7 linked regions of the Mus musculus genome follow. The protein of the gene in region 7 interacts with the protein of the main gene of each other region in a pairwise test. Links are inferred from orthologs where the notes say so. Each region holds a gene or a part of one and is shown on either strand. Other genes may lie near its edges.

Region 1 (4,257 bases), on a different chromosome or scaffold from region 7:
TTTTGTAACATAATTGTAACATAACATAAACTACCTGTGGACATTCACTTATAAACATTGTACACTTATAAACAGTACTAGAAAAGAATCATACTCCTTTTTTTTAAGTGAAAGATCCTGGGCATACAGAGGTTAAGTGTATGTACCCCCCCAGGATCTTACAGCTCATGCCTTTATAAATGCATGAAATATAAACATTCCTGAGCCCCCAGTGGTGACTATTTGAGGCCAGGGTCACACATATACTAGGCAAGTGTTCTCTCTGAAGGATCCCCCCACATCTCTAGATATCTCTAAATGAGAGATCTAGAAAAATATAAATTCTTAGAGATTAACATGTCAATCTTCATTAAAGGTTGGAATTTTAGGCCTCAGAGGGTCTCCTCTTTTATAGATTAGGAAACTAGAGCCAGAAGTCACATCGTAGCTGGAAATTAAATGCCTACTCAAATTGGCCATATTGCACTGTACCCTCAAAATCCAAGTGACATATACTCACAGAACCAAGGAGGCTTCCCCAGCCAAGGGCACCGTCAGATCAATGCCATTGCCGTTGGAAGACAGCTTAGCTTGAAAATCCAGGACTTTGAGATTATTGATTTTCAACCTGCCCAAAACACACACACATGCCTTCTTGTCCTGCGTCTTTGCAGCATTTGCACCTCTTGTCATCACCCTCCTGTCCCTCCTACATCCTGTGCAGAAGCGTGAGACTCCACACTCTCAGGCACAGTGCACTCAGCGAGGGAAACTATAGGCAGCAGAGACAGAACCTGAATCCAGGACTATGTGACTCAGACCTCCGTAAAGCCAGTGCTTGGGACTGGAGGCTATGAATTCTAGCTAGCTGTCCCTTGAAGAAACTTAGATTTTTACTATATTTGAAAAAGAAATGTGTTTTCATGAGAATGCCTTTAGGTACCAAGATTCATGTGGAGATGAGATCAATGGAATGTTCAACTTGAGCCTTAAGTCACTGACTGTGGAAACCCGGAGGTATGAACTGTCTACACTGGCCCTGTAGCCCTGCCTCAGACATACTCGACTTCTAATGAACCTTGCCTCAGAACTCCTCAGCTCTGTGGGGGAATAAGAGGCTTATCCATCTATTGTTGATATTGAGTAGTCAGATAGTCCCTTCCCCAGAAGCAAAGAACATCAACTCACAATAAACCATTCAAAGATGTAAAGCTTTTTAAATTGCCAAGGTCCGCTGTGTTCAACGTTTCTAGAATGCTGTTCTTGGCTAATGGCCAACTTGTGGCTTGCTGAAGCAACTCCACATCCAGATTCAGGTTCTGAGGGACAGCTGTCAAAAACAGTCATCAGTCAGTGTCCTGTACCACTAGGGAGTGGGCTTCCATCCTCCTGGTTTCAGAGAAGTCAGTTTCCCTGTGCTGTGTCATCAGTCCCTGCAACAACCCAGTCAGGACAGGATTGCCAGTCTCCTTTGTATAGATGAGGAACCTGAGCCTCCTAAGGTTAGGAAAAGTGTCTACACAGCTGGATCCATGCACTGGGATAGGGGACTTCTTGTCAACAGCTACTATAATTTAAAATGCAAACCTTTTAAATTTTTGGAATCTCACTTTTAAGAATTTATCCTGTGCCAATATATATTGGCAAGTCTCTTAGGGTAACATCCCAGCACTGTTTTTTTTTTTTTTTCTAAACAGATAGGGGCAACGCAGGAGTTGAATAGCAGCACATTTCTCAGTGTACCACCCACAAAAGACAACACCACCCTCTCCCAGCAGCCTCTGCAATTGCAGGCATGATACTTATTAGAGTTTCTCCTGGGACCAGATAGCTGAAGGAACCTATATTAACTCACCTTCAGAGGGAGGATTCAGAATTTTCAAATTATTCACAGCGCTGCCAAGTTCACCAAGAAGTGACTCTGAGTTCCCAATGAGCAGGCCACACAAGACAACAAGGCTCCCAAGTTGGAACATCTTTGGTTCTGACAAATGGAGAGTCATAGCAGGAAGAAGAAACAAAAACCCACAATTAGTGCCTGCCTCTCTCACGCTTGCCTTTCAACAAGACAGTTGCACTTCTCTTCACAATAGGTAAGAAATGGAGCCAGGGGATATGCCTGCCCTCAGGAGTGGATGAAGTAGGGCCCAGTCTGCAATGGAATTTTATTCAGCCACAATGAAAAATGAAATTGTGGCATTTCAGGAAATGGATGGAACTGGAAGTCATTGTGCTTAGCAGTTAAGAGAGGCAAAATAACCTATTTTCTGTCATCTGCAAATGAGGTTCAAATGTGTGTGTATCTATAACATAATATATTCATGTACATATACATATGCAACACATTCCCTGCCTTGCCTGCTCACTTTCCTAAGCTATAATTCTGTTTAGATGTTTCAGCAAAACTTCACACCTTCTATGAAGCCAGCTTCAGACCCCCTCCCCAGAGAGCACATCTAGGTTCCCCACTGCCTTTCTCCACCAAACTTGGAGCAGCACAGTCCCTAGGGGAAATAGCTATCTCTTCTGTCATTATTGAGCCTACACTCCAGTAGGAAGCCTTTCTCTATACACTAAGACAAGTCATTGATGAATAAAATCTGATCCCTAAACAGAACCCACATGAGTCTAGGTTGTTGTTAGTCTGACACAATGTCATCTATGTCTTCAAATTTGTTAGAGTCAAAACTTTACCAACACAAACAGTGCCTTCCCTCTGCTTCTTGCCCCAAAGCCTCCTGTGGACTCTCAGATGGGAACTCAGTTTAGTGGAGTCACTACTCACTGCTTTGAAGAAGGATGCACACGAGAGAGATCCTTGTTTCTCTGCACGATCTCCTGGGATTCTAGGGTGACTTATATTGTGGTCCCAGGATGAGAATCAAGCCCTATTTCCTGGATGTTCTAAAGATACTCCAAAGAAAATATCTAAGGTTAGCCAAGATATTCCAACCCAAAGGTCACCCAGGATGCTTGGGTGACAGTGATGGACCTTGTGCCAAGTTCAAAGCCCTATGTTGTCAAACTTGAGACTGCCAACAAGGGGTCAGTTCAGTATTGTCTAGAAAGAAGATCCAGAATGAATCAATGGAAGAATGTTCTGTTGGGTTGGCTCGAAGTATTTGCCTAAGCTAGCCCAGTCATTTTTTGAGAACTCATTTAAAAAAAAAAAAGCCAGCAGCTTCTGTTTGTTCAATTGTGGTTCTCAGGTGTCCCAGACCACCCTTCCTATGCACCTGACCCGTGTCCAAGAGCTTCAACCACCTCTGCTGGAGTGAGCCAGCCTCTGTGAGGGGCCAATAATGACATTCCTCACTCTTTCACTGACTCAACCATCTGTATTTTAAACCAGCTTTCTAGATGATTTTGTTTAATGCTGCCCCAAGGCTATTATTTCTCAAAATAGAAAATTCCAGCAATTCTAAAAATAAAAGGAGGGGAAAAGTAGGTTCATGGTCACTGTGCTGAGGAGGGTTAGTCATGAAAACAGCAGGACTGGGGGAATGATTCACATCTGTCCTACCTTGACATTGGCCATGACTGTAGTGTGTCTCTGTGAGCCACATACTACCAATGGATTAGCAGTAGATGACATGTGAATTCACAAGCCAGGATGTCTGTGGTCCAAAGGGAGGAATCGAGTTCCCCTGGTTTCAGAATAAACCATAGAAGCTAGGGGGGAATTATAATCTGAGGTGAAAACTCAGCAACTCCATCTAGGGTGGGGTATTGCTAGATCCAGGTTCCCAAATGATTCCATGTTCTTAATACTGGCTTCATTCTCTGATGAACTTTACCAGATAAAGTAACTGAAAACGTTTTGGTGAAGGGGGTGTGGGGGTGTGTGGAGACCCAACTCCTATGTGGGTAGAGAGGTGGTGCATTGCCATCGGTGAGGAGCTAAAGTAATACTCTGATGGAGGCTCCATTGTCTAGGTAAAATGTATGTGAGCAAGATGTGTCAGCCAACAGGCACTTGCTCCCCTGGAATAAGGACCCATGTTTGTTCTCCAGAGTCCGAGGAAAAGTAGGAGGGGACAACGCCTGATAGTTATCCTCTGACCTCAACGTGTACGCTATCATATGTGCACCTGCACTCACACACGAACAACACACACACACACACACACACACACACACACACACACAAATAAGAAACTGGTAACTCTCAGGTCAACTAGACTGTGGCCTCTGAACAAAGTAGATGTGTCGTCTCCTCAGGATATTGGGAACAGAAGCAGCAGGACTGTGTGTCTCACGAGTGACCTCCAGCTCACA
Region 2 (3,500 bases), on a different chromosome or scaffold from region 7:
CCTGCCTCTGCCTCCCAAGTGTTGGTATTAAAGGTGTGCACCACCACACCCGGCTAGATTTAGATTCCTAACAGAAGAAAAATATTTAAGACTGTGATATAAAAATCCAACCTAAGTGGGTGGAGATGGTACATACCTTTAATTTCAACAACCAGGAGACAGAGACGGGTGGATGCCTGAGTTTCAAGCTAGCCTGGTCTACAGAGCAAGTTCCAGGACAGCCAGGGCTACACAGAGAAACCCTGTCAAAAAAACCAAAAAAACCCAAAAAACCCCAAAAAAACAAACAAACCAATCCAACCTAAGCTTTTGGCCCACTGTTCTGTTCTACAATGTGTGTGTGTGTGTGTGTGTGTGTGTGTGTGTGTGTGTGTGTGTGTATGCAAGTATTGTGTAGGTCAGAAGTCATTTGTGTGTTACTCCTCAGGCAACACCCAACTTTTATTTTATTTTTAAAATGACATTAATTACTTAGAGTGAGAGAGTACTTGGTTGGGTGTGTGTGGGTGTTTGTGTGTTGTGTGTGCCCCAGCAGCTGTGTGGAAGTCAGAGACAGCATGTGGAATTGTGGGGATTGAACTCAAGTTCTCCTGGTTGTGCACCACGCACACATGTACACAAACACCTTATGACCCCAGGCCTTGCCCTGTAGCAGCTCTGTGTGTCAGTCTCCACCTTTGGGCCAGTTCTGTGAAATAACTAACTAGACCTATATCCCCTGCAGGCTTTCTAGTGACCCTTGACTGATACACCATGGAATGAAATGGAAACTGAACAGGCTGGGTCAGAAGGTCAGGGTTTAGGCGATTGCTCTGCTGCAGATCTGTGTGATCCTGGGGCATTTTTACTAACTTCTACCAACTAGCGGGGTCATTTTCATCCCCAGAAATAACGACAGCATGTAAATAGCATGCTAGATAGAAGCAACTGTTGCAATACTTGGAGTATGATTACATTATTTTTTTTTATTTTGTTTTTTCCGAGACAGGGTTTCTCTGTATAGCCTTGGCTGTCCTGGTTGATTACACTCTTGCTTAAAGCTATCTTCCAAAGTCAGTTCTTGCATGACAATTAAGGCCAAGAAGTGATTTTCTTCCTTCCTTCCTTTTTTTTTTTTAAAGACTTATTTATTTTATGTTTATGAGTACACTGTTACTCTGTTCAGACACACCAGAAGAGAGCATCGGATCCCATTACAGATGGTTCTGAGTTACCCTGTAGTTGCTGGGAATTGAACTCAGGACCTCTGGAAGAGTTCTTAACCGCTGAGCCATCTCTTTACCCCCCCAGCAAGTGTTTTCCTTCTCATTTCCCCTCTAATGTGGCCGTGTCCTCCTTGGGGAAATTAAGCATATTTATTATCATTTTTCCCTTTACCTCTGACAGTGGCTTCTATCTCTTCCATGGCGGCCTCACTTTGGGCGTCTGCGAGTCTTTCATTGATTTCCATGATTTCCACAAGGAACTGACTGTCTGCTTTGTAATCTGTCCCTTCAGGAATTTCTATTCCCTGGAGCTTTAGCTATTGGGGAGGAGCACAAAGAAAAGGAGTTTGGTTAGGAAACATTCAGTGTTAAGTAAATACTGCTCACTCCTTCAGAGTACACGGCACTCCTGGGGGAAGCCTTGAGTGTCAGGTGAAATGGAGCCCAGAGCCTAGTACATGCTAAATAAGCACTGTGTCCCTTCAGAAACTTGAGCTGTCCTAGTAACAGTGAGTGCTGGTATAGGACCTCACTCTGCTGAATGTACCATCAAAGCGATGGTTGGTACCTCACACATCTCAGATGTTAAGTGAGTCTTTATAAACTTTCCCTCCAGTTCTAAAATCGCCTAGATGTCCTTACAAAAAGACTCCCAAGTACTCTTTTTTTCTTTTTTCCTTTTTTTTAGTTTTTCTTTTTCTTTTCTTTCCTTTTTTTTTTTTTTTTTTTTTTTTTTTTTTCCGAGACAGGGTTTCTCTGTATAGCCGTGGCTGGCCTCGAACTCAGAAATCTGCCTGCCTCTGCCTCCCAAGTGCTGGGATTAAAGGCAGGCGCCACTATGCCCAGCCCAAGTACTCTTATCAAATTCATTGAAAATAGTTAAAGCAATAGTTAAAGCACTACAATCAGGGGTGACATTAGGATATGCAAAAGGATCCAGGTCTGGCTTGGTGTGGGGCTGCATCCCAAGTTACTCAGGAGGCTGAGGCAGGAAGATCACATGTCAATTCCAGCCTGGGCAGCTGAGTGAGACTGGTTCAAAAAGTAACAAGGCAGCTGGGGATATAGTTGAGTGGATTCAAAACCTAGTACCATCAAAGCGAACAAGCAAACAAATGGAAGCAAGCAAATGAAAGAAAATCCAGTAATCATCAAGCAGGGGCCATAGCTCAGTTCAGAGTGCTTCCTTAGCACAAGGCACTAGGTTCAATACCCAGTACTGAAGGAAAAGAAAAATTAGGAACGAGCTGGATGTGGGTGTGGTGAAGCAAGAGAATTAATAACCTGGAGCCAGCCTGGGCTACAACCAGTGATGTTTTCTTTCAAAGGAAAATACAAACAAACAAGATGGATTTACAAAGAACACTGATTATTCTTGCATAAAAATTTAAAATTTTTTTTCTTTCTTTCCTTTCCTTTTCCCATCATTTGCTTCCTGGACCAGGCTAGGTCTCATACAGAGGAGTCCCAGACAGATGGGTTGGGAAATCACCTTACAAGATATAGTCCTCTGGTCAGGGGAGCCTGAAGAGTCTTATAGGCATCATTCACCAGGGTGGAGTGCTTGTCAGAGAAGTGTTTTTCAGTCTGTTCACAGAAGTAAAAACAGTTTTATCATTACAAGAGCTGGTCAAGCTGGCGTGTGTTCCGTTATCTGGGAAGCCAGATAAAAGCTGGGAGGAAATGACAGCTCTGGGGCCTGGCTGTCTAGGGGCAGGCTGCCACAGGGTGGAGCTAGCAGCCCAACTCTTTCCCAGAGCAACAGAGCTACCCACCCAGTTGTGCCCATACATGGGGACTATTGGGGGGAGGGTCAGTAAATACCTGAGACTTTTGGCTGAAGAAATCTGGGTGGACAAGCCGCTGCAGTTGCTGGTACCTGTGCTGAAGTTTCGTAACGTCCACCCTGAAGGAGCGGTTGCTGGAAGAAAACCAGATATCATTCATAGTTCCAGCCATTTACTACAGTCTGGTTCTGCTCTCGGGGAGGATGCAATAAACGCGTAAACAAAGGTTATTTTTAAGACCTGGTAGCTGCAATGAAGGGAAACAGAACAGGTTCGGAAGAGGTGGTATAGGTATGACATCAGAGAGGAGACCCAAAGGAGCGAAGATCAGAAAGGGACATGAGCGGAGAGACGACACTGACCTGGCTGGAAGGTCGATAGCTTGACGCATTAAGGGAGGTTAGTGTAATGCATGGTAAACTCTTGGTGACTGAGGGTCTCTATAGGTTGGGCAAGAACTTTAGTGTCAAGCCACTCCCTACTGCCAGGCCTCTTTTTATTTTTTATA
Region 3 (4,115 bases), on a different chromosome or scaffold from region 7:
CCTAGGTGCTTGACCTCTGAGGGCTAGGTCAATGCCCTCAGAGACCTGTGCTGAATATTTGAGAAACCTAAGATGGAGGCTTCTGCAGGGGAGAGTAGGGGACAAACCGGATACTTCGTTTGGAAGGATGAAAGCCAGCCAGGAAGGATGCAAATATGAGAGGAATGGAAAGAAGTTGGGCCAGATACTCAGAAAATATTTCTCTCCTTCTCTCTCTCTCTCTTGATAAATAGGTCTCTTCTGGACATAGTTTCTCTGAGGCCTGACACTGAAGCCCTCAGAGATCACAGGCCTGAGGGCAGTAAGTGACCTGCTTTGTTTACACAGAAAAATGCCAAAGATCACAAATGTTGGGGTTAGGGTAGTGGCTCAATCAGTAAAGCGACTGCGGTACAGTCAGAAGGAACTGAGTTCGGATCCCCAACTTTCTTTTCTTTTTCTTTTCTTTCTTTCTTTCTTTTCTTTTCTTTTTTTTTTTTTTTTTTTTTTTTCGAGACAGGATTTCTCTGTGTAGTCCTGGCTGTCCTGGAACTCACTTTGTAGACCAGGCTGGCCTCGAACTCAGAAATCTGCCTGCCTCTGCCTCCCGAGTGCTGGGATTAAAGGCATGCGCCACCACACCCAGCTGGATCCCCAACTTTCACACAAAAGCTTGGCACCATGGCTCAGCCACCTGTAACTTCTCAGTGCTAGGGGCTGGGGGACAGAGAAGAAAAAATCCCTAGAACTCACTGGCTAGCCATCCTAGCAGAATCAATGGGTCCCAGGCTCAGTACCCTACCTCAAAATGGTAAGGTAGAGAGAGATAAAGGAAAACACATTTATCAGTTGCCTTCACCTGCACTTAAAACACAAGTGAGGGCTGGAGAGATGGCTCAGCGGTTAAGAGCACCGACAGCTCTGCCAGAGGTCCTGAGTTCAAATCCCAGCAACCATATGGTGGCTCACAACCACCTATAATGGGATCCGATGCACTCTTTTGGTGTGTGTCTGAAGACAGCTGCAGTGTACTCATATTAAAAAACAAACAGCCGGGCGTGGTGGCGCACGCCTTTAATCCCAGCACTTGGGAGGCAGAGGAAGGTGGATTTCTGAGTTCAAGGCCAGCCTGGTCTACAGAGTGAGTTCCAGGACAGCCAGGGCTACACAGAGAAACTCTGTCTCGAAAAAACCTCCCCCAAAAGAAAGAAAGAAAAGAAAGAAAGAAGGAAAGAAAGAAAGAAAGGAAGGAAGGAAGGAAGGAAGGAAGGAAGGAAGGAAGGAAAAACAAAAACAAAAATCACATGTGCATGGAGCCATGAGCCCCTAGGTCTCCTCAGGAAAGAAGGCAGAGGGATGTTAAAGCACTTCACAGGAGCTGAACATGTACTAACATCAGTGTTAGAGTGCTAATTCACATACATACATACATACACACACACACACACACACACACACACACACACACACACACACACCAGTTTGTTTCTTAATTCTCAGAAGGCACTTAGCTCTCAGAACCTGAGAGTTCCAGCCAAAAAGACATCTTCCAACTTGTCCGTCCAACTTCTTCTCAGGGGGGCTGTCTTTTGATTGGGTGCACAGGGTTTATCTGTTTAGCCCCAACTGTCCTGGAATTTACTTCATAGGCCAAGCTGGCCTTGAACTCAGAAACCCTGGCTCTGCCTTAAAGGTACACACCACTACTCTCATCGGCCTTAGTAGTGTCTTTTAAACTTAGTAGTGTTTTCTGAGACATATTCCTCTTTCTGCCGTGCCTCCACTATTCCTTTCCAAGACCACAGCCTGCACAATAATACGGACAACAGGCTTAGTAGTTTGCCCTTCCGTGCGGTAGAGCAGGATAGGCGATGTGCATACCTACTGGACGCAGAGGATACCACCATTCACCTTGTTGCACAGCCAACTCTCCCAGCTTGGCCTTTCCCCAGCAAGCTCCTGCAGTCCCCTCCGTGTCTGGTCATATTAGATTTATTCAGCCAACTCTCTCCTGCCAACCCCTTTCCCAGATCTTGCACTGAAGACAGATGAAAAAATGGGCCCAGAAGTGGTAATGACTGAAAGGAGGAAGGAAGCCGGGCAGTGGTGGTACAGGTCTTTAGTCTCTGCACTCAGAAGGCAGAGTCAGGCAGATCTCTGTGATTTCAAGGCTAGCCTGGTGTACAGAGCGAGTTTCAGGACAACCACAGCTACAGAGAGAACCCTGCTCCAAAAAGTAGAGGAGGTGGTGGAGGAAAAGAAGGAAGGAAAAGAAAACAAAGGAAGGAAAGATCTGTTATACTCAGTGCCCTGTGGACCCCCAAACGGTCCCCACATTTTTCACGGGAGTTAATACAGCTGAGAGAATGCCCTAGCAGTATTCAGCTCTATTCCTCGGGTGTACTGTTAAAAAGCCTCCACTCCTGGCTCTGTGTACCACATGGGACGCATACAGAATTCTGAACTAGAATTTGAACTCAGCCTGGGACTCCTGTGGCTATGAGCAGCAGCCCCAGATCCCGGGCAGGCCTGGCTTTTCCCTTTGCCTAGGTGGTAGGGTAGTGTGTGTGAGGGCTACCCAGAGTGGGGTCAGCCCCTGCCAAGCACTGCAGAACTCCCAAGTTCCCTTCTCGGGACTGCCCAGCCCCCTCTCTTTTCGGAATGCTGCTCGGGGTACCTGAGAGCGCGGACACTCTGCAACTTCGAGTTCGGCCGAGGGCGAGAGAGCAGCGTCCGGGGGCCCCGCGCCCCCAGGCTCGCGATACACAGCCTCCCGAAGCGCAGCATCCCGTGATAGACAGCCATGGCTCGCTTCCGCCGCGGGTCCGGGCCGGGAGTAAACTTTGAAAGTGAACGAGGCGAGGGTAATTAAGAAGCGGACGGGGAGGCGGGAGGGTCGCTCTGCCTATGGGGTGAGGAGGACTGGGTCCCCGCGGGGCGGGGCGGGGCGGGGCGAGGAGAGGCCGGGAAGTGGCGACTCGGTCCTGGCCACCTTTGCGTGGGAACTGCAGCCCTTCAAGCCCGCCCTCGAAGTCCCGCCCTTGTCCCCCCTCCCCCTCCCGGGGCTCCCAAGACCGGCTCTGCAGCACAATACAGGGCCTTCCTGCAATCATCACTCTAACTTTGGAGGGCCTAAGAGTTTCATAAACGGGAAAACAATCAACAGTCTATATAGAGCCAGATGACAATGCCTGGACTGGTTGGTCCCACGTGCCCAGTAGGGCTTGGGTCACGTGGGGACTTCCTGGGTGCTGAGCTACAGGCCAAAGGAATCTGCCCCGAGTGCCCCTGAGGCCTGCCAACTGGAGCAGAGGGCCTCTGGGGAGAGGAAAGGTAGTTGGGACCTACCGCTCTGATGGGTAAACCCCTCTGTATTCGGAGACCTCCGGGGACCAAGGTGCTAGTCTGGCCAGAGGCTAAGAGTCAGCTTTACTTCGACCTTGCATCCTCCCCACGACTCTGAGAAGAGTACCAGGTAGACAAGATTAGGTGGCATCAGGGACGCGTCTGTTGTATCCTACCTTCCCTCTTTCTGCTCTAGCCTGAAGCCTTAAACACAATTTCCTCAGCTGCTCCCCTAGGCTCCAAAGGACCCTGACTTTGTGACTCAACCCTCTAGCTGTGCCCTTAGGAATGTATTCTAACGTCATCCAAGGAGGATGGGTGACAAGATCTACAAGAGGTGAGTGCTCAGGCTGTGCGCTGGGTGTCCAAAGATGAGTACACTAGTCCTCCACTTTCTAGCTCCTCGTTGTCCTGAACGATCTGGGAAAGAAGAGAAGAAAGGCCCCCGGCCGGGTGGCTTCCCTTCTCCTGACTTGGAATGAAGAAAGCCAGGCAGAGGAACAGTTGGCGGAGGGTGGAGGTTAGCCTGGTGAACCTTTGCCTTGATCTGGTTCAGCTGGGGTCATGACTAATACAGCTACTCCTTCTCTGATCTCCAGAGTGACCAGATATCTCTCTCTTTCTCTCCCTCTCCCTCTCCCTCTGACAGCTTTTTGGAAAGAATCTGTGTTCCGTTGGAGAACAAGTCAAGAGGAGAGACTTTGAAAAGCTGGGCTTGAAACGGCATGATGCCCTCCAAATCAAATGTATACAGTGGTTTCAGACAGCCAGGCCCAGGGAGTGAAGGGTGC
Region 4 (4,120 bases), on a different chromosome or scaffold from region 7:
CCTCCCCATGCATGCTAAGGCATATACACCCACACCCCAATAAACAAATGCAACTTTACGAAAGGGCACAAGAACACAACCACTCATATTTAATATTCTCAAATATATGAGAGTCTGTGAAATAAAATACCAGTTCTGTTCTGGTGGGGCTCGCAAACGACCCATCTGCAGCATGCCACTTTCAGTGCTATCTGTAATGGTCTCACCGAACCCAGGTTAAGGACTACTACTTCTACTTCACAGGTAATCAAGGTTTAGAGAGTCGCCCGTATCCCACAGCTACTAGTTAACAGTGCAGGATTTGAAGGCAGGCACTAAATATGATTGTTATACCAACTATGCAATAATGATAAGCTTGTGTTTCAGCAAACACGGTGTGTGTGATGCAGTCTAACTGAGCAGACAAGCTGACTTGGAACTGAACTCTGATGACTTTAGCCACTCGTTTCTAATATTCGCATATATATAGTACTCTATGACATAAAACGATGCCCACTCTTTTCTGGTGGGGTTTGTAATCCAGTTAAGGACCCACATCTATTGGTGTGTGTGTGTGTGTGTGTGTGTGTGTGTTGGTTTTTTGAGACAGGGTTTCTCTGTGCAGCCTATACTTTATCTAGTGAGTTTTAGGGAGTAAAGAACATACTCTGATGGCAAAGGTCTTCCTTTTCCTAGCTTCTTGCCCAGAAAGAAGAAACCTCTAAGACCAAGGATTGAGCTACCTACCTGAGGCTTCCTAATGCATCTGTGAGGTGGGGTGGGGAGCCGGGAGTGTCTCTGAAGGCACCTTTGTCTTCGTCTTGGGACTGGGGTAGGAGGGGAAAAGAGGATCCTAGATAAGGCCTCCTAGTTTGCTATGGAGGAAGACCAGGCCCTTCTCCAGCTGCTTCTCTCGAGCCTCCAGATTCTCAAGCTTCTGATTTTTCCTGAATTCTCGGCGGATGGAAGCAAAGTAGAAGTCTCGATCAGTGTAGCGAAGCTCTCGGCCTTGGCGCAGCAGAGCCCGGTACAGACACAGCACTGCCTCTCGGCTCCAAGGGGCCATGGGGGACCGACGTGTACTAATCGTCACACTCTACAGAGAAGACACAGAAGGCTAGAGTCAGAACTGATGACAGCAGGGCCTGCTAGACACTGTGTGTGTGTGTGTGTGTGTGTGTGTGTGTGTGTCTGAGTTGGGGGGAGGGAGGGATGGCAGGGGTTCTTAATGCCAGACTCAGAGACTTCCAAGGACTCATGGCAAAGCTGGGATCAGCTTCCTCCCTGTAAACAGCCCCTCCTGGAGAAGTTCAGTTTAAGGCTCACCAGGGTTCAAGAAGTAGAGTTTGAGTCCTGGCTGTGCCATCCCACTGCCCGGGCACTTAGCATAAAGTACAGTGGGCATCAGCTTCCTCATTGTAAAACAGAGATAACAAAGACATCATGAGAGTACTTACTACACAAGGTTATTTTGAGAACTGCTCCTAAAAAGCCCCTGTAATGGGACTCTACCAGACAGTGTGGCCTAGAGTAGTTAAAGACCAGGATTTATATCTGGATCCTGGTACCACCATATAAGCAGCATCACGCTGATTGGCCTTATTGTTTTAATTACTTTTTTACTTTTTTCTGTATGGGTATTTGCCTGCATGTTTGTCTACATGCCAGTTTGCCTTGAGAGTGTAACACTGTCATATCCTTAGACTGGAGTTATAATATATACAGTTGTGAGCCACCACAGAAGTGCTGGAAATTGAGCCTGGGTCCTCTGAAAAGCAGCCAGTGCTCTTAACCACAGAGACATCACTCTATCTCTTCTTTCTTTCTTTCTTTCTTTCTTTTTATTCTTTCTGTTTTTGCTTTCTTTTGCTTTTGTTTAATTTGGTTTCCTGATGCAGGGCCTCTCTACGGAGCTCTGGCTGTCCTAGAACTCACTCTGTAAAGCAGGCTGCCCTCAAACTCTGAAATCCTCCTGTCTCTGCCTCCTGAGAGCTGAGATGAAAGATGTGTGCCAAGTATGTGACATCATTCCCAAAAGGAAGTGATTTGCCCACTCACCAAAACAATCCAGACCCTAACTCGCTGGAATGAGGTGGGGGCGGGGGGGGGGGGTGTCTTACATGTGTGCACTTCAGGGCGTTCAGCAAACTTTGCCAGCACAGGGCCCAGGGCTCACCAACCTCAAAACTAGGCTGGAAGGAGGAATCCTCCCCATAACCCTATGAGGAAGAAACAGTTGTTGTATGAGCCTGTATGTGTTTCAGGGGTGAAGGGAGTTCCTGGATGAAAAACAAAAAATGATCTGAACTTTGGGCTCCAAGACAGAAGCAGTAGCCTCTGACCTTGCTAACTTCCAGCGCGAACCGGGGCAAGCCACCGCTGTCCCTTTTTCCTCAACTGCAGAACAGCTCCCCTTTGGCCCTGAGGGTCTTCCGGGATGCAAAAGATGCAGAAAAACAACGGAGGGCTGGAAGGAGAACGTCACGCAGGGGCTGGAACGAGGTCGCTGAGTGACTGACTACGGGCTCCGATCGGGGTACAACGCCCAGAGGACGGGAACGCAGACCCCGGGGCCAGGCTGGCTCTGTGGCTTGAGGCAACCGGGTCTTGAGGCGGGGCGGGGCGAAGCTTGGAGGCCCCGGTGGGAGCCGGTAGCCCCCAAACTGGCCCGAGCTCAAACGGGCGATCCCCGGCCGCCCTCATTCGCTCCCTCACTCACCCGCGGACCACGCGCTACCTTTCCTCAGGACTCGCCACTCGCCCAGTACCTCTCTCCGGGTCACCCATCAACATGGCCCCTCTACTTCCGGGGCACGACCTCGCTCGCGGGGCCGACGGAGACGCGACAGGGAGCGCGGAGGCGGGCGGAGGCGGAAGCACTTCCGGTCGGCCCCTCCGTAGCCTCCCTCCGGAGGCGGAGCCCGGAACTTAGTCCAGCGCTGCCCGTCGTGGGGCCCCGCCCACAGACGCAGCCCCGCCTCCTAGGTGACGTTACCTAGCTCCACGGCCCCTCCTCCGAAAGCGTTACTGTGCAGTCTCTGTGTAAACTCAGTGCTGGCTGGGTGTGGCTTAAGGGAGGAGCCGCAAGTCGTCGCCCTCCACCTGCTGCCTACGTCTGGCCTGCGAGAGGCTCTGACCACACTGAATTGATTACTTGACACACTGCATTTTGTCCAACCCAACCTCTCTGTTTGGTAGACTTCAGCATTCCAGTGTTACACTTGGGAAAATCGAGGCCGAGGGAGGCAGGGTCATTTGCACTGAAAGCTGAGCCCTGCAGAGGCTCACAGTGGGTCCAAGCTCAGTATTCCTCCAAAGTGTGTGGCTTTCCATTCTTTTAGGCCGCCCTACTTTGCTTTTTAAAGAAAGAAGTTTGTGACCCAAATAAATCTAGTTTGTGAAATTTCCAGCTAGAAGACCGGGTAACCTATCCCTCGGGACAGTCTCCTAAGTAGACGAGTTTTCCACTCGTAAAGGACAAGGAGACCCTCTGGGGGAGACCTTAGGATTACCCACTCACACACAGAGTCTCGGATGTCAGGATTACCTTTTCCAGATTCACTAACCTTCCCACACTCACCCCACTCCTGCCCCATGCTCCCAGTATAATGGGGGCTAAACATTAAAGTGTCTTCCAGCCCCCACATATCTGTGGTGTTTTGGAGACCAGAGACCAGCCAGCCGAGACACTGATGCAAACCTCAGGGTTCAGCCAGGTTTCACAGAGCATGGGCAATCTGGGATCCTCTGGACTGGGTACAGGACTGGACATAACTATCAACTCACATCATAAGGAAACAGGACCTTATAGGAATTGCAGCTCAAGGGGAACATTCATTTACCCAGGGCACAGGTTCAGGTACAGTAGGCATTTCACTGGTGAATGGATGGACTGTGTCTTAGTCAGGGTTTCTATTCCTGCACAAACATCATGACCAAGAAGCAAGTTGGGGAGGAAAGGGTTTATTTGGCTTACACTTCCATACTGCTGTTCATCACCAAGGAAGTCAGGACTGGAACTCAAGCAGGTCAGGGAGCAGGAGCTGATGCAGAGGCCATGGAGGGATGTTCTGTACTAGCTTGCCTCCCCTGGCTTGCTCAGCCCGCTTTCTTATAGAACCAAGACTACCAGCCCTGAGAT
Region 5 (3,500 bases), on a different chromosome or scaffold from region 7:
GGACTCTGTCCTTCCGTGAATGGTTCTTCCACGTACGCAGTACGGCAAAGACACTTAAGTGCTTCACTCGAATTTGATAGGAGTTTGGAGAAGGTGTCATCACAATGGCCTGGAGATATATGTAGTATGGAAAGGCGCTCCCCCAAATGAAGGGCACACAAGCAAATTCAACTATTTAAACACACAAAGATTGAAAAGAGCAACATAGTGAAACTCATGATTTCCTTCTTTAGCTAAACTAGGGTTTCAAGCTAATTAGGTTAGTGGCATTAAATAAAGCTTTAATAAAACATGAGAATGGCAAAGGTTTTGCTTGATTTTCTCTTTTACTACTTTAATTTGTTTAAAAGCACAAACAGCTGTGCCTGCAGTAACTCGCTAACAACAGAAGTAGTGTTCCCTTTCGTTGTCTTAATAAAGTATTTGCCCTTTTGATGCAAATGATTTGACTGTGCTATCTTAACAGCTGAACTAGTGGCACAAGATTGATGGAATATTTACTGCAGCAAGGTCCTTGTAAATCAAAATCTGAGCTTTACATAAAAATCTTATTTATAAAAAATATAATACCAAGTACAGTGAGAATGGAGCACGGAGCTGTAGTGCTCCCTGCCAGGGCCATGTGGAAGTGGCTTTTGCTACAGTGCTTGCTTAATGGCACAAGTGAAAAGCTGAGTAAGGCAAACACTTGAAGAGGCAGTTTTCTGTAAACTTCTTGGGGTGGGGCAATCTCCTCTCTTGGGACAGACACTGAGATGGCTAAGATCAGAAGGTGTGACACTTGGCTGCACCTGACACATCACAGACTGAGACAGTTCCTGCTGGTAGATGAGACCAGTTGGCTTGCTTTAGGAGAGAGGATATCACTGTAGCCTTCTGCTTTGACTGTTAGAATGTGCAGCATTCAGCTGGTAGCCCCCATGGAAGAAATCATCTAAACCTTTTCCTAAGTGAAAAGATACAAAATAAGCTAAGTCTTTAGAAAACTTTCCTTAGCTTAAAGCTCCGTAAGAACCCTACATCAATTACTAAGCAACTTTGTTAGCAGGGTAGCTTGACACAAATGCTGTATATTATTCCCACCCACTTGGTACCTAATAGTAATAAATTGCAATGACACTTGAAAAAACAAACTGATCTTGAGCAAGTTTGGCCTCTTCTCATGTCCTCACTTGGAACTTCCCAGCCTTTGTGACATATTTGACTCCTTTAAATGGCTTATACTTCTCACCATACATGTCCAAGCGGTTCACTTTTAAGCCTGTGTCAAAAAGAATGAAACGAATCATTACTACCAGAGTAATAATGCAGTACTTGTGTAACAATGAACACTGTGCCTTAGATGTGACACTGCACAGTGCTCCATTCATCATGTGGAAACAACATCCCTTTTCTATCCCCCACATGCTGTACTCTAAGGAGCATGGCCTTGGTTAAGATGCCTCTGCTCACAAAACTAGCTAGTTCCACTTTCTTTGAACACAAATGAGGGCTTCTCTGGCTCTTAAATGAAGGTGAGGTGAGGTATGTGTGACAGAAGAGCATGAGGTTAAGTTGTGTTCTCAAATGGCTGCTGTCTGGAGCTGCTGTTCCTTCTAGGGTAGAGCTGTTAGTACTCTTCCAGACTCCTAGCCCCAATCTCCCCTCAATGCCCAGCAAACACGTGTTACCTGAAATAGCAAGCTGCTGGATCTTGAACTGTATGTTGAGGTTTGGGTTCTCTTCTGGCTTGGGTGCTCCTGACTGTAAATTTACTAGTCCTTTAAGACTTGGGAGCTTTTGTGGAGTAATTTTGCCCACATCCCATGCTAGTACCTTAAAAACACAAGAGAAAATACCTGAGCTGTGTTAAAGACATGCTCAGAGGTCAACAGATGCTATACACTACACAAAATGAAGCAGTGTCTTAGAAAACAGAAGCCAGGACTACACAACTGGCTTATGTTCTAATCACTAAATGTTCAGTTACAGAATCCACAGCAGAATCATGTGTGTGGGGCTGAGTAACAGACAGACAGAAGGATGACTCCAGCTCAGCTGGAAGGTGAGGATGTGGACTCGCCTGCTCACACCTCACACTTAAAGGGTCCCAGAAAGGCTTTTTTTTTGTTTGTTTTTTTGTTTTTGTTTTTTCGTTTAAGACAGGGTTTCTCTGTGTAGCCCTGGCTGTCCTGGAACTCACTCTGTAGACCAGGGTGGCCTCGAACTCAGAAATCCACCTGCCTCTGCCTCCCAAGTGCTGGGATTAAAGGCGTGCGCCACCACGCCCGGCTCCTCCATTTCAAACACAATCCAAACCAAACCAAAACACCTTCTCATTTATCAAGTACTCTATTCTGCTGAAAACTTACATTTCCTACATAAGGAAGCAAGGGAGCGAAGAGAAAATCATCTTTTCTAGGACTCTGAAAACCCTTGGCTAGAGTCTTGTTTAAGCAAGGCAAGGACCCTGCTTCCTAAGTACTGTGACCTCCACCCACAACCACAAAATAGATTGCAGAACACTTGCTCATTCTTGTTTCGAAGTGCCTGTACCTTGGTCACGGGATCAAATGTATAGCTGCCTTGCGTTGGTGTCAGGTTCATATTCAGCACAACTTTGGGCATGTGAACAGTCACTGTGATTCCTTCAATTGTTTTTCCCATATTCTGTTTCGGTCCAATTGTTATATCAAACCGGCCACAAGAGCTGTTTTCCTTAAAGCTGATACTGTGTTTCACATACACTGGTATTGCCACTAGACTAAAAAAAAGACACAAAAAGGTACAAAAGTACATTATGAAAGGTATGGGACAACTCCAGATGTAGTGTATGTCCTACGAGGTCTGTAACTGTGCCACAGGACCATATGCCCTAGCAGATTAGGCCTATGCACTAGGGTTGAGGACAGCAATGTTCTGGTACCAATGTGCTAGAAATGTATGGGTTAGTAACAAATACATAAGCCCAAACAGAAATCTCCTCCAAATATCACATAAACAACTCGGATAAAGGGATACAGCTAAAAAAAAAAAAAAAAAAAAAAAGGAAGAAAGAAAGAAAGAAAGAGAAGAGCCCATTAAAAGAATTTAAAGCACTAAGAAATATTTTCTCAGAAAAATGTTTCAGTTTTGTCTAATCACCCAAATGCTTTCTGGAATTTTAAGGGACACGTCAGCCCCAGCTGACAACAGTAAACTGTTTAAAGCTCAATGCAAGATGAATATGGTGGCACATATCAATGATCCTAGCACCCAGAAAGCTGAGGCAGGAGGATCCACAGTTTGAGGTAACAAATAAGACACTGTTTTAAAAACAAGAACCACTTCAACCTCCCAAACTCAATGTAGAGAACAGTGACTTGAAGCAGGTAGTTTAGGGGATGTTTTAGGGTATCCTGTCTTGTTTGTTTACAGACATAGCAGACTAAGGCACTGAGTTCATGGTTTGCCCAGGTCACGCACAGTCCAAAGGCTTGGTCTTAATCATAGATTTTTAACTTACTCTCTCTTACTACTTC
Region 6 (4,174 bases), on a different chromosome or scaffold from region 7:
AAACAGGCTTTGAACTTGTAACTCACCTGCATCAAAATCCTCAGTAGTTAAGCCACAGGCTGTTAGCCAGGCCCTGGGTATCACCAGCTGGTTTTGTCATGTCGTTTTATGTATCTTACTACATTCACATACAAACCATTATTTATTCATATTTATTTTTTAAAAATAGCTTGTTTTTTCCTTAGATAATTAAAAGATACTTGTAGAAAGGCCTAGTATTTTTTATTTTCTGTAATTGTGTAAAATCAAGACATAGTCAATAAGTATTTATTGGATTTAAATGAAATATCAACAAGTTTCCATAGTTAACCATCACATCTGGTATAGACCCAAATCCATGACTGCTGTTGAAATAAGGGACATACTATAGTATTCTACTATTCCTTGCTCTTTAATCTACTTTTATTCTTGTCTACCAGTCACATACAAGAAAGTAGATTTGTGATGACAAAGCATATGGGTTCACTCAGCCAGATGAATCAGATCAATCAGTTTGAACTGGCTTCCTCCTCAGGGGAAAAAAAAAATTACCTTTACTACAGAAGACCTTAGAACTATAAACACACATTCAACACACATATCTGAAAATAGTCACCTCTAGGAAAGACAATGGCATAGAGAAAGGGCAGGAAAGAGGAAACTTCTCATTGTCTGGACTTTTTACCTTTTGAGTTTTGTTCCATGCATGTATTTTTCCTACTAAAACAAATTAATTTTCAAAGATGTAGTACCTAATCTTGGCCTTTTGGCTGGGATCTCATCAGTGTCCACTGCAGTAGAAAACAGAGTGCTGCAAAGAAAGGAGAAGATGGATGTATATAGGCCATACGTGCATTTCTATAAATAAACTTACTCAGCTCTGGAGGTGTGACTCAGTTGTAGGGCATGTGTTTAGCATATAAAAGACCGTGGTCTCTTTACCTAACACCAAAACAAAAGCTCCGTACCACACAACCTTCCTTCTCTTGTGCCCCATGTAGTCGTAAAATGAGATGCAAGGTGCAAAGCAGAGTCCTATTTCTAGACCGTAGGAAAGACTCAACACTCCCTACTACATTATGATGTATAATCTGGCCAAATTAAACCAACACATCATTTGGTTTTGGGACACTGGCCCTAAAGACAGACTTTTTTTTTTTTTTTAATTTCAAGCAACAATATAAGCAGCCTTAAGAGATAAGGTAGTAGTTGGGAGTTGGCAATGGTGTTGCTTAAATGTCTCCCGACCCCTATACCCTGGGCTGGGGATTGAAGACAGGACAGGCACGACAGACAAGCACACCGCCCCTAAGGCACAGCTCTAGTTCCTAGAAAAAAGTATCTTTTAAGACACCAGCCCCCGAGCCGGGCATGGTGGCACACACCTTTAATCCCAGCACTCGGGAGGCAGAGGCAGGCCGATTTCTGAGTTCGAGGCCAGCCTGGTCTACAGAGTGAGTTCCAGGACAGCCAGGGCTGCACAGAGAAACCCTGTCTCAAAAAACAAAAGAACAAAACAAAACAAAATAACCCACGAGCCCCCGAATGTAGTAAAGAACAGAAAGCAGCTAGAAGTCAAGGCTGGCCAGGACACATCCACACTCAGGTTTGGGTCGGCATACTGCTGACTCCGAGGGACTATGAATGAAAATGTGAGGCGATCACCAGTCCCTGTTCGATAAATATGCAGTTTCATTGTGCACCAGATCCAGTTGGGGGAGAATAAACTATTCTTACATAAGCATCAGTTTGAGAACTTTATAACATCTTAACCGATTCTTATCTGAACCCCATGGAACTGTAGAAGCCATGGGACTACATGCTACAGTTTAGCGAACAACCAGTTTCACCAATGACCTACATTCCTGGAGTCATCTATGAATCATTTTGATCTACTTCCCCTAATCCAATCTTTTGTCCACTTCTCTTGACCTGGAAACAAAAATAATCACCATCATCATAATAATAAGTGAAGTAGACATAGCAGAGGAAGGAAAGGGAGGGAGAATGTAAGAGTGGGAGACAGGGGGGAGTATAGAAGTTGTAGAATATTTTGTTTTCTAGATAAACCCTTAAAAGGGAAGACACTGTAAAGTAAATAAAGGAGTAGATGCTAAGTACTAATATTTGTCATTTCCTTCTAATTTTAACCGAATCTTACAAGAGTGCGGTACGTAAATACTTTCTGCCTCTTACAAGGATGTTAAAGAACAGGACCATTCCCTTCCCCTGCAGCCCAACACACACACCCCGACAGTTGCTGTCGAACAAGACAACTGCTGTTCCTCGGTGCGAAGACAACAGCACTCGCAGTCAAACGACTACGGGCAAACTCCTAACCTAGTGACTCGCTCCTGCGCTGTCCGCCCGCGACGACACCGGGCGACAGGAGCCGTATCCGGCGAGCAGCACATCGCCGGCCTCCCGTTCCCCTTCCGCTCGCAGCTAGAGGGACGGACTCTCCCCAGGCCTCCGCGGTCCCGTAGTCGCCGGTTCCCACAGGCCCGCGGCGCCCAACGCCAGCGCGGGGGAGGGGACCCGACCGGCGCGCGGCCACCTTACCTGCTGGAGCGCCGCCTCTTGAGTAGGGCGCGGGCCCCGGGCGCGGGCCGCTCACACAAGCGAAGAATGGTGCCGAGAACCTTAGCCAGCCATCTGTACATTCCAGGCCTGAGCAGCAGCGGCGGCCGACACACCCCGAGACGCGAACCCCAGAGCTGTCGCCGCCGCCGCCGCCGCCGCCGCCGCCGTCGCCGCTGCCGCTGCCGCTGCCGCTGCCGCCTTCGCCGCTTCAGCCGTAGCCAGGATCAGGCGCGGACTTGTGACGCCATCAGAGGGCCCACAGATTTAACGTTCCCCGGGCTAGGGGAGGACTCTCTAGAAGCCGTTGACGTCACCTTCTTCCGCCCAACGGGAAAGCGGCCTCCGGAGTCTGAGCATGCGCAGTCTGGGCCTGCTCCTTGTAAGCCTAGCAACAGGAAGCGGGACGGGGAGAGCGGGCTCTTGCGCGGGTCTGACTGGCAGACCGAAGGGCGGGGCTTTCTCTTTGGCAGAGCCAGTCAGGAGTCGATCTCGGGACAAGGCCCACAGACCCAAACCACGTGTATCGATGCTGGGCCGGGAGAGCTACCCAAGCAACCCGACAGTGGAGGGTTCTGTAAAAGAATGCGCAGGGTGGAAAATAGGTCAGGTTAGTTAATGAGTATGTAAGGGTTTGCGCTTTATTTTGTATATACATTGGTCTAATACTTTACCCGGATTGCCGTCATGTTTACAGCAACCGGACACAGTGGGGAATTTTAGGAATGTCATAAAAACCAAAGGTATATAGCAATTAAACCATGTGCCTAAGAAAATGGAGCTAACCACTAGCATTTGAGCCAGTCTAACTATTAGGGCTCATTCCGCACGCATACGTGCAAGTTTACTGGGAGAGACATTTTCATAGATACTTATAAATTAGAATACAAGGTCACCTGCTTATGTGATAAATGATTGTAATGCGCAATGGAACTAGAGAAAGTTAAACCAGATGCTGGGGAGTGAGTAGGGCAGACGGACACGACTTCTTAGGAAAAGCTTCCGAGAAACAGGGACTGAATGATTCCTGTGGCCTTTTCTAATCAGCTTGTCTCTTCCCCTCAGCTGTCAGGTAGCAATCAATTCTCATTATCCTCTCTGGGAATGTATACACTTTTCTTTTCTTCTCTTCTCTTCTCTTCTCTTCTCTTCTCTTCTCTTCTCTTCTCTTCTTTCTTTCTTCCTTTTTGTTGTTTTGTTGTTGTTGTTGTTGTTGTTTTTTGAGACAGAGTTTCTCTGTATAGCCCTGACTGTCCTGGAACTCACTTTGTAGACCAGGCTGGCCTCGAACTCAGAAATCTGCCTGCCTCTGCCTCCCGAGTGCTGGGATTAAAGGAAAACCATTAGAAATAAATGTCTAAATAATATCTCCTATGGACTTAAGCATAATGTCTGGGAGTGCAGTCCCTTGAAGTATTAAAAACAGTCTCAAAGCCGGGCGGTGGTGGCACATGACTTTAATCCCAGCACTTGGGAGGCAGAGGCAGGCAGATTTCTGAGTTCAAGGGCCAGCCTGGTCTACAGACTGAGTTCCAGGACAGTCAGGGCTACACAGAGAAACCCTGTCTCAAAAAACAAAAACCCAAAAAACAAAAACAAAAACAGTCACTGCTGG
Region 7 (4,221 bases):
ACTTCTCTCATCTTCCCAGAAGAAAAGTCCTATCTGGGGATCTGTGACCTAGATGTCATCTTGTGTCCACTCAGGGGGTCTCATGGGTTCCCATATGGCTTCTATTCTTCTGGAGTCACACCCACCAGCCCAGGCTGGGCAGCTCCCGCCTCCTGAGAGCTCTCAGCATGTCTGAAGGCTCAGCAGGGGAGACTTCCTGTTAATTGTCCTGACTGAATGTCTTCCAACTTTTGCTATGTTGGGCAAGTGGACTCCAAGTGGCTGGCTCCTCATATATTGGTGGTACTAGAGCTTGTGTGCATCAGCCACTGACACCCGGCACAGCTCTGATCATTTGGAACTTTACCTAGGCTATGCTGGTACTGTAAACAGATGCTGGTAAACAGATGCTATAACACTGAGCCCTGACCCCCTCATTTTTGGACAAAGTCTCACTGTTGCCCAGGTTGGCTTTAAACTGCTGGGCTCTAGAGTCCTCCAGCCTCTCCTTCCCTTGTGGTGGGGGCTATTCAGCCATCAGCTGGAAAGCCCCTTTCTTGACTTCAGGTCCTGTCTCCCTTTCCTTACCCTGGCTTCAGAACCCAGGATGGAAGGAGAACCATCCACACTCTCGCCTCCCCACTCATGTTGTGGCATGCATCCACCCACCCCACTAAGTAGATCAATAAGACATAAACACGGTCTTACTTTATAAGCCAGGCAGGCTTTGATATCATTATATCTTTGCCTCGACTTCCCCTTCCTTCCTTTCTTTTTAATGTATTCTATGAAATTCTCTTGAAATCCAATAAGCTTGGAAGGAAAATTTAATACAGTAAGAACAGAGCTTCGATTTTTTTTTCAGATTTATTTATTTTTGTCTTGTGTATACGAATGTCTCACCTGCCTGTGTGTGTATATGCACTTGTGTCTGGAGCCTGCGGAGGACAAAAGAGGGTGGTTGTATCACAAGTACATGATTGTGAGCCGGCATGTGGGTTCTGGGAACCCAAGCCTAGAAAAAGTAGTAACATGTGCTCTTAATCACGGAATCCTCTCCAACCCTCACTTTTTATCTTTATGGACATGAATTCATTCACTGATCCTCACAAAGATGATGAGGTAGGCACTGTTCTAATTCTTGTGCAAGGGAAGTAAGAGAGGAGAGAGGATGTTCTGGGCAGACACCAACTGTTACCACACCCGCAGTTTCTGCCCGCTTGCCCCAGGCTCCTCTGGCTGTAGGTCGTCCCACCACCTCACCTCGATCCCACTTAGGCAGCCCGTTGAGCCCCTAGGCTGCAGAAATCCCGACCTCCTGGCTTGAAGCACAGGAGCTGGTAGAGGCCTAGGCAGTAGTAGTAGCAGGAGCCTGAGCCTAGCAGCAAGAGCAGCTGCCTGACGCCGTCTCCTAGCAACCGGCTGCAGTCACGTGGCCGCGCGAGTTGGCCTCCCGCCGTTGGAACTGGCGCAACGCGACGGGCGGGGCCAGGAAGTTTGTTCCCGAGTTCGGAGCCCAGGAGTCCCCGCGGCCGTCGCTCAGGTGCCCTCCGCCGGGTCGGGATGGAGCTGCCTGCCGTGAACTTGAAGGTGGCCGCGCGGCCGGGGCGGGCGGGGGTCCAGGAACCTGGGGAACGGAGTCGGAGCAGAAGGGAAGGTCCAGAGCCCCGGGGAGGAGGCGGCGGACACGGAGAGGGACACCTGGGGACAGAGACGGACAGGGCCGCCCCTCCCGGACAGACCCAGGCTGGCACGGGCACCGGACCGCCCGGGCCTGCGCTCCTGGTGTCCCCCACAGCAGGACAGGGACATCTATCCTTCTGAGAGGTCAGTGCAGTTCGGGGGGGGGGGTCTGTCTGAGTGCTGGCTCAAGTTAGGAGAAATCCGCTGTCCCCAAACAATTGCTTCTCCCTAATTTCCACATGCAGCGTCCTTATTTCATAATTAAGAAGCAGGAACTTAAGAGGTTTCCTAAAATCAAAAACCCCAGAGGCTACTTTGAGCTCCGGGCAGCGGGGCTGCGTAGGATGTCTTCATTTCCTAAGTTCTTTTTCTCTCTCAGCCCTCCTCATTTGCAACAGAGGTGCTGGCCACTTAGCTTCGGCCAGAACCGTGTGGACCTGGAAGTAAACCGGCCATCTTGGGCCTTTGGTGCCAGCTCCGTGAAACCCTAAGACTCCCAGGTGTTAAGCCATTTAGCACCCTTTGGTGTCTGAGAGGAAAGGGCCGGAAGATAGAGGTGCTTTGGAGCAGTTGTGTGATTTCATATGGGCTGGGCTGTGACTTGCTCTGGCCGGTTTCCCATTCCTAAACTGCTGGCTAGCAGCAGGAGGGAGATTGGAGCAAAGGAATGGGCTTGAGCGATCCATTATCTAGGGACAGAATTACAGGCAGGACTTGGAGGCAGTCTGGAGGTCAGGCTCTGCCTTATTCTGCTGGAATAATTACGAGGACAGCACAAGTCTCAATGGTAGAACATTTGAGTAGCCCACCCCAGGCCTGGGGTTCCATCCCAGGACCACACACTAACAAATAATAATAAAACGCAGGAACAGGTGAGAAAAATGTGATGTTTATGGGCTGATATGTTTTATTCATTTGAGTCAGGGTCTCGTGTACTAACTTACTGTGTAGCCTTGAACTTACTGTGTACCTGAGGATTGCCACAAACTTCTGATCCTCCTGCCTCCACCTCTCCAGTGCCAGGATTACACAGTAGTGGCGATGAAACCCAGGGCTTCCTGCAGGATAAGGAAACACTCCACCAACCGAGCCGTATCCCCAACCTGTGTTGCTTGTTTTTCTTAGTCTCCGTCCTCCGCTGAAAAAGCTGAAGCTGTACTCTGTCGTTTTTGTTTAGAGTTGGGGGACTTGCTATCTAGCTCTGGCTGGCCTGGAACTCACTATAGAAATCAGGCTGTCTTTGAATTGACAAGAGATCTGCTTGCTTTTGCCTCCTGAGTGCTAGGATTAAAGGTGTGCACCACCATACCTGACCTAGAGAAGCCGTGTTCTTTTATCGGGGTGCAAACTTCAGCTTAGATCATACGAGGAAATTGTCCGAGTCTCCCAAGAAATAAGTGGTACAGTCAGGATTCGAACCCCCAAAGACTCAGCTCCAGTGGTTTGCATTTCCTGGTATTGTTGCTTTGGGCTAACTTTGGTTTTGATGGCCTACATCGTCTTTTAGAACCTGATAGGTACAGTGTATCCATCACAAATGTAAGATAGCAGGCTTTCCAGCCCAGCATACAAACACTAGGCCCTCCACTGAGATCATGTGTGCTTTGCAGGCTTTGAAGGGCAGTGCCCAGGCTAGGGGTTGTGAAGTAACACCCAGTCACTTTTGGGCTTCGCATCAAGGACAAAGTCGTACCATGTGTCTCAGGATTGGGGACACACTGAATCATTCACAATCTGAAATTCAGAATGAGGCTGGGTGTTGTGTTATTTTGTCTGCAAGATCTGGTGTCCCTATGGGAGGCAGCTGGGACACCATTGGCTGCCCCTTTCAGTCCACCCTCTCTGTCTTTTAAAAAGACACCAGCTCTTCTCAGCACTTGGCCCAGGCTCTGTGAAAGAAGTCGGGTCCCTAACTGGGCTTCTTGCTTGTCTTAAGCAGGAGCTAAACTGAAGCAGCTCAGGTTGGACTAGACTTGTGAAGCCCTGGGAGGAGCAGTGGGGGGGGGGGGGCAGCGATGCGGCCTGCTGTGTTTGAGTGTTTGACACACTTCTACCACAGAGTCCCTGCTGCGCTGAAGAGCAGGTGGCCGTTGTATGTATGGAGACTTGCCCAAGTTTATGTGTTAAGATCTGTTCCATGGTCTGACTCCAAAGTCTGCCAGAGGACCTGCCTCTCCTCCTGGGTAGCCCTTGAATTTAGCTGTCCTGGGGGCATCCTACTGCCTTGTCTAATAGGCCGCCAAATGTTTGCACAGGACACACGGGGATGTTTTAAGTTGAGGTCTGGGACATCCCCAGCCCCTCCTCCTTTGGGAGTGGTAAACAAAGGCTTGTTTTGTTTTCCTGTGGTAGGGTACCACAGGCCAGGCAAGTTTTCTACCACGGAACCACAGTCCATAGCCCCAAACAAAGGTTAATTAATCCTCTTGGCCCCTAGACTTCTGCTGACCCACCCTTTTCTAAGTTAAACTTCCCTTCCCTCTGCCCTGCCTTTGACCTTGGAGATCCTGACAGTGGAGAGAATGCTGGCTTCGGGGCGAGGTTTTAAGGCCAGGCTCT

What was found.
Region 1: the proteins of Agtrap (region 7) and Bpifa2 interact in binary tests that used the Homo sapiens proteins (3 or more experiments, as listed by UniProt). The two-hybrid records come from large-scale screens. The link is inferred for Mus musculus from reciprocal best matches to the Homo sapiens genes AGTRAP and BPIFA2.
Region 2: the proteins of Agtrap (region 7) and Hscb interact in binary tests that used the Homo sapiens proteins (3 or more experiments, as listed by UniProt). The two-hybrid records come from large-scale screens. The link is inferred for Mus musculus from reciprocal best matches to the Homo sapiens genes AGTRAP and HSCB.
Region 3: the proteins of Agtrap (region 7) and Acsf2 interact in binary tests that used the Homo sapiens proteins (3 or more experiments, as listed by UniProt). The two-hybrid records come from large-scale screens. The link is inferred for Mus musculus from reciprocal best matches to the Homo sapiens genes AGTRAP and ACSF2.
Region 4: the proteins of Agtrap (region 7) and Mief1 interact in binary tests that used the Homo sapiens proteins (3 or more experiments, as listed by UniProt). The two-hybrid records come from large-scale screens. The link is inferred for Mus musculus from reciprocal best matches to the Homo sapiens genes AGTRAP and MIEF1.
Region 5: the proteins of Agtrap (region 7) and Ap3m1 interact in binary tests that used the Homo sapiens proteins (3 or more experiments, as listed by UniProt). The two-hybrid records come from large-scale screens. The link is inferred for Mus musculus from reciprocal best matches to the Homo sapiens genes AGTRAP and AP3M1.
Region 6: the proteins of Agtrap (region 7) and Senp2 interact in binary tests that used the Homo sapiens proteins (3 or more experiments, as listed by UniProt). The two-hybrid records come from large-scale screens. The link is inferred for Mus musculus from reciprocal best matches to the Homo sapiens genes AGTRAP and SENP2.

Annotation. Positions count from the first base shown.
Region 1 is NC_000068.7:154,006,819-154,011,075, reverse strand, and holds the start of Bpifa2 (BPI fold-containing family A member 2 precursor), read right to left. Parts: upstream 2,801-4,257; 5' UTR 2,765-2,800; intron 1,964-2,764; 5' UTR 1,956-1,963; coding exon 1,835-1,955; intron 1,310-1,834; coding exon 1,168-1,309; intron 608-1,167; coding exon 500-607; intron 1-499. UniProt on the Homo sapiens protein: Has strong antibacterial activity against P.aeruginosa.
Region 2 is NC_000071.6:110,833,278-110,836,777, forward strand, and holds part of Hscb (iron-sulfur cluster co-chaperone protein HscB isoform 1 precursor), read right to left. Parts: intron 3,127-3,500; coding exon 3,030-3,126; intron 2,793-3,029; coding exon 2,703-2,792; coding exon of another isoform or gene 2,698-2,702; intron 1,523-2,697; coding exon 1,378-1,522; intron 1-1,377.
Region 3 is NC_000077.6:94,598,987-94,603,101, forward strand, and holds the start of Acsf2 (medium-chain acyl-CoA ligase ACSF2, mitochondrial precursor), read right to left. Parts: upstream 2,801-4,115; 5' UTR 2,785-2,800; coding exon 2,657-2,784; intron 1-2,656. UniProt on the Homo sapiens protein: Acyl-CoA synthases catalyze the initial reaction in fatty acid metabolism, by forming a thioester with CoA. Has some preference toward medium-chain substrates. Plays a role in adipocyte differentiation.
Region 4 is NC_000081.6:80,232,760-80,236,879, reverse strand, and holds the start of Mief1 (mitochondrial dynamics protein MID51), read right to left. Parts: upstream 2,801-4,120; 5' UTR 2,699-2,800; intron 2,447-2,698; exon of another isoform or gene 2,322-2,446; intron 2,199-2,321; exon of another isoform or gene 2,100-2,198; intron 1,076-2,099; 5' UTR 727-1,075; intron 1-726. UniProt on the Homo sapiens protein: Mitochondrial outer membrane protein which regulates mitochondrial fission/fusion dynamics.
Region 5 is NC_000080.6:21,035,443-21,038,942, forward strand, and holds part of Ap3m1 (AP-3 complex subunit mu-1), read right to left. Parts: exon of another isoform or gene 3,485-3,500; intron 2,744-3,484; coding exon 2,536-2,743; intron 1,816-2,535; coding exon 1,671-1,815; intron 1,262-1,670; coding exon 1,161-1,261; 3' UTR 1-1,160. UniProt on the Homo sapiens protein: Part of the AP-3 complex, an adaptor-related complex which is not clathrin-associated. The complex is associated with the Golgi region as well as more peripheral structures.
Region 6 is NC_000082.6:22,008,110-22,012,283, reverse strand, and holds the start of Senp2 (sentrin-specific protease 2), read right to left. Parts: upstream 2,801-4,174; 5' UTR 2,643-2,800; coding exon 2,542-2,642; intron 2,520-2,541; exon of another isoform or gene 2,394-2,519; coding exon of another isoform or gene 2,320-2,393; intron 791-2,319; coding exon 732-790; exon of another isoform or gene 684-731; coding exon of another isoform or gene 665-683; intron 1-664. UniProt on the Homo sapiens protein: Protease that catalyzes two essential functions in the SUMO pathway.
Region 7 is NC_000070.6:148,085,265-148,089,485, reverse strand, and holds the start of Agtrap (type-1 angiotensin II receptor-associated protein), read left to right. Parts: upstream 1-1,421; 5' UTR 1,422-1,542; coding exon 1,543-1,569; intron 1,570-4,221. UniProt on the Homo sapiens protein: Appears to be a negative regulator of type-1 angiotensin II receptor-mediated signaling by regulating receptor internalization as well as mechanism of receptor desensitization such as phosphorylation.